2 linked regions of the Struthio camelus genome follow. The protein of the gene in region 2 interacts with the protein of the main gene of each other region in a pairwise test. Links are inferred from orthologs where the notes say so. Each region holds a gene or a part of one and is shown on either strand. Other genes may lie near its edges.

Region 1 (7,356 bases), on a different chromosome or scaffold from region 2:
TAACGTTTTGGGGCATCCCGTCTGCTCCGGAGAGGGACAGCGAGACTCCCAGAGTGGCTTTCGGGGAGATCTGCGGGCACCTGGGAGGAGGTTCGGGGGCCCCGGGGGGGAGGTTTGGGGGGGAGCCCCGGGGTGGGGGGGGCAGCAGGGGGGAGGTTTCGGGGGGCTTGGGGGGGCTCAGAGGAAGGCGTCGCACCACTCGCGCAGGCAGCCCGAGCAGTCGCGCGACTGCTTGGCGTTGGCGCCGCACGTGTCCTTGAGCCACTCGCGGAAAAGCTCCTCGTCCTTCTTGAGCACCAGGAACTGGCCCAGCACCACGTAGGCCTGGCGGGGGGGGGACAGGCGTCACGGGCGGGGGGCACCCTGCCTCTTGGGGACACCCTGGGGACACCCCCTGGGGACACCCCGGCGTGCTAGGGACACCTTGACACCCCTTGGGGACACCCCGACACCCCCTGGGGACACCCCGACACCTCCTGGGGACACCCCGACATGCTAGGGACACTTTGACACCCCCTGGGGACACCCCGACACCCCCTGGGGACACCCCGGCATGCTAGGGACACCTTGACACCCCCTGGGGACACCCTGACACCCCCTGGGGACACCCTGGGGACACCCTGACACCCCTGGGGACACCCCGACACCCCCTGGGGACACCCCGGCATGCTAGGGACACTTAAACACCCCCTGGGGACACCCCGACACCCCCTGGGGACACCCCGGCATGCTAGGGACACTTCGACACCCCCTGGGGACACCCTGGGGACACCCCGGCACGCTAGGAACACTTTGACACCCCCTGGGGACACCCCAACACGCTAGGGACACCCCGACACCCCCTGGGGACACCGCCTGGGGACACCCTGACATGCTAGGGACACCTCAACACCCCCTGGGGACACCCTGACACGCTAGGGACACCCCGACACCCCCTGGGAACACCCCGACGCCCCCCCCAGGGACACCCTGACACCCCAAAGACATCTTGGGGACACCCTGACAGCCCCCAGGGACACCCTGGGGACCCTCTGACGCTCAGGACACCCCTCCGCGCCTCGCGCGTCCCCAATAGCAGCCAACGTCCCCCACTGGTGTCCCCAACCTCACCCCCCCCCACGTCTCTGCAATGTCCCCGATGTCCTCGCAGTGGCCCCGAGGGTGACCCCAGGGTGGCCCTGCGGTGTCCCCACCTCTGCGTCCCCACAGTGGCCCCAAGGGCGTCCCCGTGGTGTCCCCAGGGTGGCCCCGCGGTGTCCCCACCTTGTTGAAGTCCTTCTCCTCCAACTTCTTGCCCAGCACGTCCCCGATGCCGGCCAGCGTCCCCAGCGGTGTCCCCAACCCCACAGCCGCCCCCCACGGTCCCCGTGGTGTCCCCAGGGTGTCCCCGCGGTGTCCCCAGGGTGTCCCCACCTTGTCGAAGCCCTTCTCCTCCAGCTTCTTGCCCAGCACGTCCCCGATGCCGGCCAGCGTCCCCAGCGGTGTCCCCAACCCCACAGCCACCCCCCACGGTCCCCGTGGTGTCCCCAGGGTGTCCCCGCGGTGTCCCCACCTTGTCGAAGCCCTTCTCCTCCAGCTTCTTGCCCAGCACGTCCCCGATGCCGGCCAGCGTCCCCAGCGGTGTCCCCAACCCCACAGCCGCCCCCCACGGTCCCCGTGGTGTCCCCAGGGTGTCCCCGCGGTGTCCCCAGGGCGTCCCCGCGGTGTCCCCACCTTGTCGAAGCCCTTCTCCTCCAGCTTCTTGCCCAGCACGTCCCCGATGCCGGCCAGCGTCCCCAGCGGTGTCCCCAACCCCACAGCCACCCCCCACGGTCCCCGTGGTGTCCCCAGGGTGTCCCCGCGGTGTCCCCACCTTGTCGAAGCCCTTCTCCTCCAGCTTCTTGCCCAGCACGTCCCCGATGCCGGCCAGCGTCCCCAGCGGTGTCCCCAACCCCACAGCCGCCCCCCACGGTCCCCGTGGTGTCCCCAGGGTGTCCCCGCGGTGTCCCCACCTTGTCGAAGCCCTTCTCCTCCAGCTTCTTGCCCAGCACGTCCCCGATGCCGGCCAGCGTCCCCAGCGGTGTCCCCAACCCCACAGCCACCCCCCACGGTCCCCGTGGTGTCCCCAGGGTGTCCCCGCGGTGTCCCCAGGGTGTCCCCACCTTGTCGAAGCCCTTCTCCTCCAGCTTCTTGCCCAGCACGTCCCCGATGCCGGCCAGCGTCCCCACCGGCTTCTCGCCCATGGGCTCCGCCACGAAGTCCCGGTGCTTCTGCGACGTCGAGGACATCTCGGCTCGCCCTGCCGGCGGGGGGGGGGACACAGACGGTGCCACCGCGTTGGGGACGGGGGGGGGGGGATGGGACGGCCCCCAGGAGCGACGGGGACAGACCGCGGGGGGGGGGGGGTGACGCGGGGACGCGGATGGTGACAGGGACCGGGCAGCTCGGGGGGGGGGGGGGGGACAATGTGGGGACAGCGGCAGCCCCGGGGGGGGGGACAAAGGTGCCCCCGGGGCTGGAGGAGGCAGCGTTGTCCCCTCTCCCCCCCCCCCACCCCGTGCAGGGGCCCAGGCGATCCTGACCCTCCCCCCCCCCAGCAGGGGCCCAGGCGATCCCGCCCCTCCCCCGGCTATAAATACCCCAGCGCAGCTGCAGCAGGGGCCCCGGGGGGGGGGCACAAACAGCCCCCCCCGAGACTCCCTGGGAGCCCCCCGAAACCCATGGGACCCCCCCAAGAGCCCCCTCAAGCCCCAGAGACCCCCCAAAGACCCCCAGAGCCCCCCCGGACCCATAGACACCCCAAAAACTGCCCTACAACCCCTCCAGCCCCACAGACCGCCCCCAAGAAGTCCCCCACAGCCCCATAGGCTTCCGCAATCACCATAGACCCCCACAGACCCCCCCAAAGACCCCCGAGAACCCCCTCCAGCCTCATAGACCCCCCCAAGAACCCCCCAGAGCCCCCTCAACCCCATAGATCCCCCTAAGGACCCCCCAGAGCCCCTTCCAGCCCCATTGACCCCCTAAAGACACCCCAGAGCCCCCTCAGCCCCACAGACCCCCCTAAGCACCGCCCAGAGCCTCCTCTAGCCCCATTGACCCCCCCCAAAAGACCACTCAGAGATTCCTCAGCCCCATAGACCCCCTCAAGGACCCTCCAGAGCCCCCTATAGCCCCACACCCCCCCAAGGACCCTCCAGAGCCCCCTACAGCCCCCCAGACCTCCCTAGGCACCCCCCAGAGCCCCCCAAAGCCCCATAGACCCCCCTAAGGACCCTCCAGAGCCCCCTCCAGCCCCATAGACCCCCCTAAGCACCCCCAGAGCCCCCTCAACCCCATAGAACCCCCCTAAGCACCCCCAGAGCCCCCTCAACCCCATAGACCCCCCCAAGAATCCCCCAGAGCCCCCTCAACCCCATAGAACCCCCCTAAGCACCCCCCAGGTCCCCCTCCAGCCCCATAGATCCCCCTAAGGACCCTCCAGAGCCCCCTCCAGCCCCATAGACCCCCCTAAGCACCCCCAGAGCCCCCTCAGCCCCATAGAACCCCCTAAGCACCCCCCAGGTCCCCCTCCAGCCCCATAGATCCCCCTAAGGACCCTCCAGAGCCCCCTCCAGCCCCATAGACCCCCCTAAGCACCCCCAGAGCCCCCTCAACCCCATAGAACCCCCTAAGCACCCCCCAGGTCCCCCTCCAGCCCCATAGATCCCCCTAAGGACCCTCCAGAGCCTCCTCCAGCCCCATAGACCCTCCCTAAGCACCCCCCAGAACCCCCCAAAGCCCCATAGACCCCCTAAGAACACCCCAGAGCCCCCTCAACCCCCATAGACCACCCCAAGGACCTCCCAGAGCTCTCTCAGCCCCATAGATCCCCCCAAGGACCCCTCAGAGCTCCCTCAGCCCCATTAGACCCCCCTAAGGACCCCCCAGAGCCCCCTACAGCCCCATAGACCCCCCCTAAGGACCCCCAGAGCCCCCTCAACCCCATAGACCCCCCCCAAAGACCCCCTAAGCTCCCTCAGCCCCATAGACCCCTCCAAGGACCCTCCAGAGCCCCCTACAGCCCCAGAGCCCTCCCCAGCTCCCCACACGCACCTCCCAAGCCCTAAAGACCCCCCCCAGGGAGCCTCCGGACCCCCCCCCGCCCTCACCGGCGCCGCCCGCCGCTGTCAACCGCCGCTCCCGCCCAACTGGCCGCTGCGCGCGCCTGCGCGCTGCCGTCACTTCCGGCCACGCCGGAAGTGCACCCGCCGCCGGCGACCGCTCTAGGCGCGCCCGGAAGCGACCATAGAGAGGCGGCGGCTGCCTAGCAACGCGGTCGCCGCGGGCGCTCTAGGGCGACGGCGCCGCGACTCTGTGGTGCGCGGCGCCGCTCTAGCCCGCGGGAGGTTCCCGCGGCGAGACGCAGCGGCCTGTCAGAAACCACCATAGAGAGGAGGACCGGGGGGGAGGAGCCGGTGTCTCCGGAAGTGACGCCAGAGGGCGGTGCACCCGGAAGTGGCGGACTCCCATGCGGTGAGAGGTGGGAAGCGGCGGGGCGCGGCGGGAGGGGGGCAGCCCGGACGCCTGGGCCCCCCCGCCGCTACTGGGGCGGGGGAGGGGGACAGAGGAGGGACCCAGGCGTCCCGGCGGGCCCAGGCGTCCGGCATGTCGCAGGCCACCAAGCGGAAGCACGTGGCGCGGGAGGTGCTGGACGAGCGGGTGGTGCCGTCGCCGCGACAGCGCATCGTGCGGGTGAGCGGGGGGGGGGGGGACCCGGGGGGACCCGGGGGGGTGGGGACACGGGGAGGGACACGGGGATCCGGGGGGACCCGGGGGGACATAGGGGGACCCGGGGGGTGAGGACACGGGGGGGGACACGGGGACCCGGGGGGACCCGGGGGGACATAGGGAGACCCGGGGGGGTGAGGACACGGGGGGGGACACGGGGACCCGGGGGGACATAGGGGGACCCGGGGGGTGAGGACACGGGGGGACCCAGGGCGACATAGGGGGACCTGGGGGGACACAGGGGGATGAGGACACGGGGGGGGACACGGTGGGACATAGGGGGACCCGGGGGGACCCGGGGGGACACGGGGGGGGTGAGGACATGGGGGGACACGGGGGGGGGGTGAGGACATGGGGGGACACCAGGGGACCCGGGGGGGTGGGGACACCGGAGGGACACGAGGGGACCTGGGGGGGACACGGTGGGACATAGGGGGACACGGGGGGGGACGGGGGGACCCGGGGGGTGAGGACACCAGGGGACCTGGGGGGACAGGGCGGGACATGGGGGGGGGTGAGGACATGGGGACGGACAAGGCGGGACGGGGGGGGACACGGCAGGATATGGGAGGATGAGGACACGAAGGGACACGGGAGGGGACACGGGGGGACCTGGGGCCACGGCAGGACACGGGGTGAGGACATGGGGGGACCCGGGGGGGGGGGACACGAGGGGACCCAGGGACATGGGGACACGGGGAGGATGGGGACACCTGGGGGGACCTGGGGTGGGGACACCCGGGGGGGGCCAGGGGGACCTGGGGGTGTTGGGGACACAGAGGAGCACACAAGGGGACATGGCAGGACACAGGGACACGGTGGGGGGACCCGGGGGGACATGGGGGGACACGGCATGGGGGACACGCAGGAGAACACAAGGGGACACAGGGACACGGGGGGGTGGGGACACGCAGCGGGGACACACGGGAGATGGGGAGACGGGGGGGGGTCTTGAGAGGGGACATGAGGGGACCTGGGGGGGGGAATGGGGGCACCTGGGGGGGGGGACACGAGGGGACCCGGGGATATTAGGGGACTTGGGGACACAAGAGGACCCAGGGATGTGGTAGAGCAACAAAAAGGACATGGGGACACTTGGGGGGGGGCACCTGGGGGCAGGGACACCGTGGGTGGGGGTTGGGGGGGGGACACAGGGACCCAGGAGAGTCAGGGGGACCCAGGGGGGACATGGGGGGGCACAGAGAGACATGGGGACAGGGACACCTTGGGCGGGGGGACACAGGGACCCAGGAGAGTCAGGGGGACCCAGGGGGGACGTGGGGGGGCACCCCAGGGACACCTGGGGGGGGGACACAGGGACCCAGGAGAGTCAGGGGGACCCAGGGGGGACATGGGGGGGCACAGAGAGACATGGGGACAGGGACACCTTGGGCGGGGGGACACAGGGACCCAGGAGAGTCAGGGGGACCCAGGGGGGACGTGGGGGGGCACCCCAGGGACACCTGGGGGGGGGGACACAGGGACCCAGGAGAGTCAGGGGGGACCCAGGGGGGACATGGGGGGCACGGAGAGACATGGGGACAGGGACACCTTGGGGGGGGGGACACAGGGACCCAGGAGAGTCAGGGGGGACCCAGGGGGGACATGGGGGGGCACAGAGAGACATGGGGACAGGGACACCTTGGGGGGGGGGGGGACACAGGGACCCAGGAGAGTCAGGGGGACCCGGGGGGGGCATGGGGGGCACGGAGAGACATGGGGACAAGGACACCTTGGGGGGGGGACACAGGGACCCAGGAGAGTCAGGGGGACCCAGAGGGAACATGGGGGGGGCACCCCAGGGACACCTGGGGGGGGGGGACACAGGGACCCAGGAGAGTCAGGGGGGACCCGGGGGGGACATGGGGGGCACGGAGAGACATGGGGACAGGGACACCTGGGGGGGGGGACACAGGGACCCAGGAGAGTCAGGGGGACCCGGGGGGGGCACAGAGAGACATGGGGACAAGGACACCTTGGGGGGGGACACAGGGACCCAGGAGAGTCAGGGGGACCCAGAGGGAACATGGGGGGGGCACCCCAGGGACACCTGGGGGGGGGACACAGGGACCCAGGAGAGTCAGGGGGGACCCGGGGGGGACATGGGGGGCACGGAGAGACATGGGGACAGGGACACCTGGGGGGGGGAACCCAGGGACCCAGGAGGGACGGGGACACCCAGGGGGGACATGGGGACACAGGGACATTTGGTGGTGGTGGGGAAAGACCACCTGGGGACACCCAGGGACATGGAGGAGGGGGCACAGGAGGGACAAGGGGCCACCCAGGGGACACGGAGGGGGTCTGGGGGACGCTGCGGTCCCCGACGTGTCCCCCCCCCCCTCCCCAGGTGCTGGGGACGCCGGGGAACAACCTGCACGAGGTGGAGACGGCCGAGGGCGCCCGCTTCCTCGTCAGCATGCCGCCCAAGTTCCGCCGCCACATCTGGATCAAGAGAGGTCCCCAACGCGTCCCCGACGCGTCCCCAACGCGTCCCCTCGCAGCCACCCGGCCCCCTACGCGCTCCCCGGCCCGGTCCCTTCGCGCCCGCGCAGCTCAACGCGGCCCTTCGCGCCCGCGCGCCTCCGCCGCTGCGTCCCCGCCGTG
Region 2 (7,882 bases):
TTCCATTGGACCAGGCACCCCGGGGGCCCCACTGCTCCATGAAGGTCCCCAGCACCCGCCGCAGCCCCCGTCCCACTGCGATGTCCCCGGCCGGAGGCCCACCCCAGCCCCAAGGCGTCCCCCTGCCCAGCGCCCCGGGCCAGCTGGGGGCCGCCGCGGCTCCGTGACCCAGCTCCTCCACCACGGCAGGGCGATGCCCGGGTGCCGGCAGCCCCGCGTGGGCGGCGGGTGCTGGCTGACGCCTCGTTTCCAGCACCCACTGCCCGGGCGCGTGGGGCTGACGCGGCCGGGACACCGTGTCCCTGCGAGGGCCGGTGAGGCCGGTCCCACGCCGCAGTGGAAAAACTGAGCAACGCCGGCGCTGGCGCGAGCCCGGTCCCGCTGCCCGCCAGGCCCCGTGGGCACCGAGCCGGGTCCCGAGCCTGCGGCGCCAGTGCAGGGTTTGCATGAGCCGCTGGCACGGGGCCGGGCACGTCCCGGCCCTCGGGCTCACCGGCACCCGCCCAGCGCCAGCGCCGCTGCTCAGCGTGCCAGGCCAGGAGGAAGCAGTTTATTTACTCATGTTATTTTTAGCCCGCCGGTGCCCTGCTGCCCGGCCGACCCGAGGCCAGACCAGCCCGGCAGCTGATAAACAGGGCACAGAGCAAGCGCTGGGGAGGAGAGGGGCTGCGGCGGCGGCGGCCGTGGGAAAACATCCTCCATCGGCCTCACCCCGAAGGAGGGTTCCCGGGCCAGGAGGCCTTCGCCTGCACCCACAGCCGTCCCGCACAAAACACACTGCTGCACAGGCGGGCACACGCATGCACACGCACGTTGCACTCGCTGCATGCACACGTGCACGTGCTCGCCTGCCAGCTGCATCCCGTCGCCGCAGCCCCAGGACGGGATGCAGAGGGCCCGCAGGAGGGTGCTCGGCCCCGGTGCTGAGCACGTCCTCAGCTCCCTGCAGGACAGGAGCTCATCCTGCCTCCAGGTAAGCCAGGAGGGAGCGTGGGCTCTTCCTGCTGCCCTGGACACGTTTAGATCCGGTCGTGCTGCCCAGCGCACGGGAGCGAGGGCTCAGCCCGGCCGGGGGAGCTCAGCCCCCCTACGCTGGCCCGGTACCAGCCCTGCTCCACCAGCCTGGAGCCATGGGTCCCGCAGCGAAGCTGGGCACTGGGAAGCCCTTTCCCCGCCGGGCCCGGGGTCCACGTCCCCGACGCCGGAGGCCCAGGGCGCTGCCGCCCCTCCGAGATCAGGGCCGCGGAGCCCTGCCGGCAAACGGCACCGGAACGAAGCTCAGCGAGGAGGGGACGGGAGCTGCGGAGCAGGGCTGCCCGCTCCTGCCGACCCACCTGCCTCCGGCCGGGCCCTGGCTTACGGCCAGCACAGAAAGCCACCGCACCGCTCGGCCTGGCACCGGTTAATAATTAAAGCGAAAGGCTTTAGGGAAGAAGGAAGAAAAACCCATGCTGGCCTCAAGTTTCGGCGCGTCGCGGGTGGCTGCGGCGAACGGCGGGAGCCAGAGCACCCGCGGCCGGCCGGCCCCAGCTCCTTCTCCCCGCGCCAGCGAGCAGGGGTGGGCACCCCGGGGGGACCGCGGCAGAGAGCAGCGGGGACGCGCCATCGGCCCCGCGCCGCCCTCCTGTCCCAGCCGCAGCAACGATAGCCCGGCACAAAGGCCCGGCGGGCGCCGCGCGCTCCGGCTGACGCCGTCCACGTCCACGGTGGAGCCTGCCGAGCCCCAGCAGCGGCAGCACCCGGCGGGAGGCAGACCTCAAACCGAACGTGCAGCAGCTAAGGGGAGGGCTAATACTTGCACATTTTAGCGGGCTCAGAGGGCAGCCCCGCTCCTGGGCAGAGCGGCGGGTAGCGCCCGCGCCACGGGGCCGGGACACCCGGGAACATCCGCGTAACTCCAGCGCAGCGAGCCGGGAGCACCGAAAGCTGCATGCATCTACCACCCCATGTGAGCGCTAAAGGAGGGCCCAGCCCCGGGAGCCCAGACGGTGGCAGTCCAAGCTGCAGAAGCCTTTAAGTCTTCTCATATCACTTCTAAAAACCCAAGTTCCCAAACCCACCAGAGGGCTAGTCCAAACAGCTCATTTTTCAGCCTCCTTTAAGTGCAAACTTTGCTCCCAACAAACCCGCTGAGGCTCAAGCGCTTGGACTCACCACGGCCTCCCTTAGGGTCCAGGACGTTATCGATTAGGGAAACTAAAGCACAGGCTATTTCCAGAGGGCCATTAGCGGAGCCGGACACCGGGCATAGAGCTGTTGCTGCTGGGGCTGCCGACCCCACTTCCTTGGGGCCGCAGCAGAATTACACTAAAGCATCCAAGTATCTGCGTTCAGGAACTGGAACCTTTAACACAAAGCATGCAACCCATTCCCTGCGTGCGGGAAGGCTGCCACAGCGCTAACCGTCCCGAGCACCAAACTGCACTCCCCTAACCCTGACACAGACGCTTAGAGCGGCGATGACCGTGAAGCAGCTGCACCACGAGCCACAAAACATTCCCCAGCCGCCACCAGCGAACATGCAACAGCACAAAAGCCCAAAGCCACAGACTCAGCAACCGCCCTCTAGCAAGCATTGCAAAAGAGAAAAGGCCCTGCAAATCTAAGGAAGCACCTGCACCCAGACAGGTACCAAAACACCCCAGAGAGCCTTTTAAGGTCCAGGCTGATCTGACCTGTGAATAGCAGCTGCTGGAAGAGCAATGCTGCACAGTAGCAACGGCCAGCCTCTAAAGTTCTCCTCTAACCACTGGACAAACATATACATAAAAAAAATCCCAGCCAGCTACTACATGCAACAATAACAGAAGTCAAAATCATGCCAAGGAGCAGAGAACTAGTTGGGCCCGTGCCTGCTGCGCCGAGCGTTTCCCACCCTGCCCGCCACGGTCCGCGGGAAGGAGAGGCTCAGCCAGGCCTTGGGCTGTTTGCGAGCGCAGGCGCCGTCCCTGCGAGAGCAGGTACCTGCCCTCCGCGCGCAGCCAGCCTCTCGCTGCCGTGCCCAGGCCAGGAGGAACGCGCACCCGTAACGCTGACCGACTGCCTGGAAGGCAGCACTTAAGAGTTTTATGGTAAGACAATTACGCGAACTCTGGCAGGCCACCGTCACCGCCTTTCCAAAGCGCCTAGCGAGCCAGAGCCAGAGCCGTCCCTCTGTGCCTGAAGGGCCGAGCTCAAGAGCTTCACCGCAAAGCGAGCCAGCACAGTGAAACACCAGCCCTTCCTCACCTCCACAGCGTCCTCCGGCCACGAAACAGCGCCGGCAGCCCGGGCCAGGGCTGCCTCCCGGGAGGGCACCCGCAGCGCGCCGTTAGCCAGCAGCACTAAGTGGCAGACAGGCGAGGGAAAAATCTCCAACACACAGAATTGAGAAAAGCCAGCATAAAGCATTTTTATTGCAATAATAAAACTTGATACCTTTATGCAGTGGAGAAGGAAGTGAACGGCGGCAATTTCTCTTACCAAATCACTACGCAGGGCGGAGGGAGGGAGGGGGGCAGATAGGACAGCAGCAGGGGGAAGCTATGCATCGTATGAGACCAGACAAGCAGCGATGACCAGCATCAGGTGTCAGGAGAGAATGGTCAGGTATGTTCAGACCAGGGACAACTGGGGTCTGATGTTTCCTTTCAAGGGGGGAGAGAGTAGAAGGGGGGCGTTTTCTTCTCAGCTGACTCCCCACCAGCCCTGCCACCTCCCCTGTAGACAGCACCTTCCTTTTGCCTTTTGTTTTCTTTTTTAAAGAAAGCTCAATGCGATTTCCTGAATTTCTAAGTAGTTGTGGAGCTCTGATGGCTAAAGAGAAAATGATCTCCACAAATCCAAAAGCAGGTGGGCAGAAGGTCCACCATGAGATGGAAAAAGTCAACAGTTGGGAGAGGAAGGAGGGGTACAGCAGCCCCAGCTTCCCAGGAGTAAAAACACTGCATGCAGTGATGCTGTCCTTTCCCCAGAAAGCAGGGAAAGGACCAACTGCTTCCTCATTGCCCCGGTTCCAGGCAGGTAACTAACACAGAGTCCTAGTGCTACTTTGCTCTCCGCATCCATTCAGCCTCGACAGCCTCACTCTGCTATGGCTTTTGCAGCAGCAGCAATTTCTGGTTTTAGTACACCATAGAGGTCGGCACCAAAACAATTAACTAACAGGTTTCCTTTTGTTCAAACGACTCCTATCTAAGGTCAGGCCATCTGCGTACTACTGGTAAAACGTAGTCTACACCTGGAACAAAAATAAGATTAAGAACTTGACCCAAAAAGAGTTGAGGTTTACGGCGTATAGTTTAAAAAGACATAAAAACACGATACAAGGAGGAAGAGTCAGACGCAAAGCTTAGTGACCAAAGGCATTCAATCAAGGTGTAAGGTTATACAATGAGTGTAGTGGAATATCAGGAAAAGCTCCGTACAAAGTCATGTGCATTCTTCTTGAAGCTGAGATTCTGGATTCCTCCATGTGCCAAACCTGTTTGGGAGAGAAGAGAGGCACCGTAACAAAGCCGCTGGCAGAGAACCCAGCAGCTTTCAGGAGAAAGCCACGGCCGAGGAGGAAGCGTGTTCATGAGACAGTTTCATTAGAAACCGCATGGTGCCCTCAAAAGCAGAACTCAAGCCCCAATTATGGAGGGGGAACGAGCCTTCAGCAAGGCAAGAGAGGCACCAGGGCCATCATGAGAGGGATTGGGCAGCCAGGCCCTGCTGTGGAAGGACACAGTGCAGGACACCTGAGGTCCCTGCCAACCTCAACTGTTCTGTGATCCTGAGGAATGTCCTGGCATGCTCTGCCAGGCAGGGCACTCTGCTTCTATCGCCACAGTGTTCCCCAAATCATCAGCGTCCTGAGAGCAACAGTCCTTCTACCTGCGGCTAGACACCTGCCCCATCCCTCTCCTGCCCCCCAACAACTGTCAGCTCCATCCCCCCTCCCCACGCTGGCCTGAGGCCAAAGAGAAGGGCCTTAAAAAGTCCTCCCCCAGCACCACCAGCTGCTTCTCCCTCCTTACCCAAGGACAGGGGGTTGGGGTAGGTCATTCCAATTTCATGAGCTCCACGTCAAAAATTAGAGTGGCATTTGGTGGGATGATCCCTGGGTGGCCAGTAGAGCCATAGGCGTAATCTGGGGAGATGGTCATCTTCGCCCTCTGACCAACGCTCATCTGGGAGCAGGGAAAGAAACACAGGGATGTCAGGAGATGCACCTGGACACCAGGTGAGAGACAGCAGGAGGGACACAGATCCGTCCCCCTCTGTTCCCTACACTGGGTAAGAGCAAGGACCTGGGCTGCACAAAGGGACAAGGGGATAGAAGAAGAATGGGAAGAACATCAGGAGAGGGAGGCAGCACTGGCTGGAAAAGGAGCAGGCCTTCAGCAGAGGGAGCAGGGCTACAGATGTCCTTCACACAAGTGTTTTTGTAGGACAGGAAGGGACAGCCAGGCCATTCCCTAAAGACACTGGCCTCCTTGTGCTACAATGTGGGCACTGCACGGAACAAGCCTCGCGTTTCCGATAGTGCATGCAGTTGACTGCAGTCACGCATGCTGGGACTGAACCCACGCCATGCAAACCAGCCCTTCCTCTGCGTGGGCTTGCAGCCCCAGGAGCCATCTTTTCTCAGAGCGGGAGGCTCTGAGCACTCCCCGTGGCGTTCATTCAGCGCTGACTCAGTATAGAAATGTCATCGCTGAGTCACCGACAGGCTGTAGGTGTTCCTGGGGCCCGGACCTGCTCCATTCCTGCCATCTGGCAGGTGGCAATGCAGAAGGTGATATTCTCACCCACACCTCCAATCACAGAGGGGGCGGAGGGGTGGAAAATACACAGTAAAAAAGAGAAAGAGCTGCGCACATTGTGATTTCTGCCCACGCTGCAGATCCTGAGCCACACGGCTCTGAGCAGCCCCTGCAAGGGAGACAGAGACACACAGAAGCACCAGGCACCTGGGCAACTCCTTCCTCCCAGCCGCGGATCACCTCCTGCTTGCCCATCACAAACTTGAACGGCTTGTTCCTGTCGCGAGAAGAATCAAACTTCTTCCCATCCTCCAGCATACCTGAGGAGAGAAAGGGGAGGTAGGGATGCGATTCGTAACACACACGCACAGAGCCACTCAGCCAGCCCCAGGCCAAGCCCAACACCCACGGGAAACAGGCTGTGACCTGGCAACTGAAACCATCTAAACGCGTGACAGTCACCCTCCAGGAGAGCTCACACGGCTGTGAGTCAGACTTCTCAGATGCAGATTGCTCCCTCCTGGGGAAACACCTGCACGGGCTGGACCAGTGGGAGAAACCCCACCCCACCAGCATCTCCCAGGGCACATCACCAGGGGAGGAGCTGCAGAGACCAGGGCAGGGGCCTCTCCACACAGAGAGGAACAGCTCTTAGACAGGGCAGGATTATTCCTCCTTGCCATTCTGACCCAAAGAAAAGTCCCCAGCTAGTGTAGGACAAAGGGCAGCAGATGGACACGGGACTCCTTCCCCATCTCAGTTCTCCAACATGAGTCATTCGCACAGAGCCTGCAGTGTTCCCAGTAGCAGGTTCAGGTCTGGTGCTTCTCAAGAACGATCCCATCCCACCCGCCAGGCTGCGAGCACCAGGAAACACCGCCTCCCGCTCGGAAACATGCGTTGCTCACTGCCTGCCAGGCAGGAAATGAGCTACAGGCAGGTTTCCGGGTTTTCATCCTCACACATACACAAGGTTAAAAAAAAAAAAAAAAAAAGTCAGGGCTACTACTGCAGGGCAGTGAGGCACTGCCTGCCCGCAGCCTGGGCTCTGCCTCCAGCTTCCAGCCCTTCCCGTGCTCAGCCATGGCCCCACTGGTCACAAACCAAATCACACTCGTACCCTGGAATTACTGAGAGAGGCAGTGCCAATTGCTGGACACACACACATGCCCAAGGCAGTCCTCATTCCACGGCACATGTCTCATAAGTAGCACTGAACAAGGCTGATATCCGCAAAGCTAAATATAACTCCCCAACACAAGCAAAGGAGGAATTTCCTCCCCTCTCCATAGTCCCTCCCTTGCTCCCTGCGTGACCTTCTTGGGGAATCTCAGAGCCAGAGAGCTGCCTTATAGGAGCAGCAACTCCACAAGGAGAACTTGGCTATGGGACAAGTAACAGCCACGCTAGGAACTGAGCCTATCCAAGGTGCACGTGAGCAGCCTGGGGAAGAGCCTAGCGGAAGCACGCTTTGCATCTGGGGCATTAGCACCACCAGTGCGCGGCTTCCCAGGCTCAAGGACGGGGCAGGCACACGCACAGGCACCATTCGAGGCATTAAGGTATGGGAACCTGAGCCGAGGACCTGTGACCCCAAGCCACAGAGACTCCAATTGCAGTATGCGCAAGATGCTTAGAGGGCACTGCCTTTGCTAACCCAGCACAAGTATTATGAAGGAGCCTGCAAACTGACTTCTAGGGTTACAGGATCCATCTGCTATCACAAGTGCCCCGTCTTCCTGCCTAGATAGAGGAACACAGACGCATCTCTCTTTTGCAACAACTATGACCGTAAAAAGAAAGAGCCAGCGCTTGTGGCACCAGACAGGCAGTGGCTCATTAACAGCACTGAATGGTTTGAAATTCATGGGAGCAATGATCAACTCTACTGCAAATGCTTCTCACTTCTCTGCTTCCCAAAGAAACCCAAGAACCTGCTTTCCTGGATGGAAACCGCTCTAGTCTTGAAAAACAAAGACATTGCCTCGTTCAGCAGTACATGGGCCAAAGTGATTTCCCTTAACCAGGGCACAGTGTGAGTCACTGCCCACGGGCGCAAGAGAAGGCACCATCTGCACACACGATAGGACATTACCTCTCAGTCCAGGCTTGCGTTGTAACAGCAGCCAGAACGTCTGGGCCACAAACTGATA

Evidence for each region.
Region 1: the proteins of SDCBP2 (region 2) and EIF1AD interact in a two-hybrid assay, tested with the Homo sapiens proteins (3 studies listed by BioGRID and IntAct). The two-hybrid records come from large-scale screens. The link is inferred for Struthio camelus from reciprocal best matches to the Homo sapiens genes SDCBP2 and EIF1AD.

The regions. Positions count from the first base shown.
Region 1 is NC_090976.1:755,798-763,153, reverse strand, and holds the start of EIF1AD (probable RNA-binding protein EIF1AD), read left to right. Parts: upstream 1-4,354; 5' UTR 4,355-4,494; exon of another isoform or gene 4,495-4,501; intron 4,502-4,507; exon of another isoform or gene 4,508-4,617; 5' UTR 4,618-4,626; coding exon 4,627-4,713; intron 4,714-7,099; coding exon 7,100-7,208; intron 7,209-7,356. Other genes in the region: BANF1 (barrier-to-autointegration factor), read right to left, coding at 178-324, 2,142-2,267.
Region 2 is NC_090959.1:18,227,144-18,235,025, reverse strand, and holds the start of SDCBP2 (syntenin-2), read right to left. Parts: upstream 3,010-7,882; 5' UTR 2,965-3,009; intron 2,498-2,964; exon of another isoform or gene 2,155-2,497; intron 1-2,154. Other genes in the region: peptidyl-prolyl cis-trans isomerase FKBP1A, read right to left, coding at 5,025-5,153, 5,937-6,049.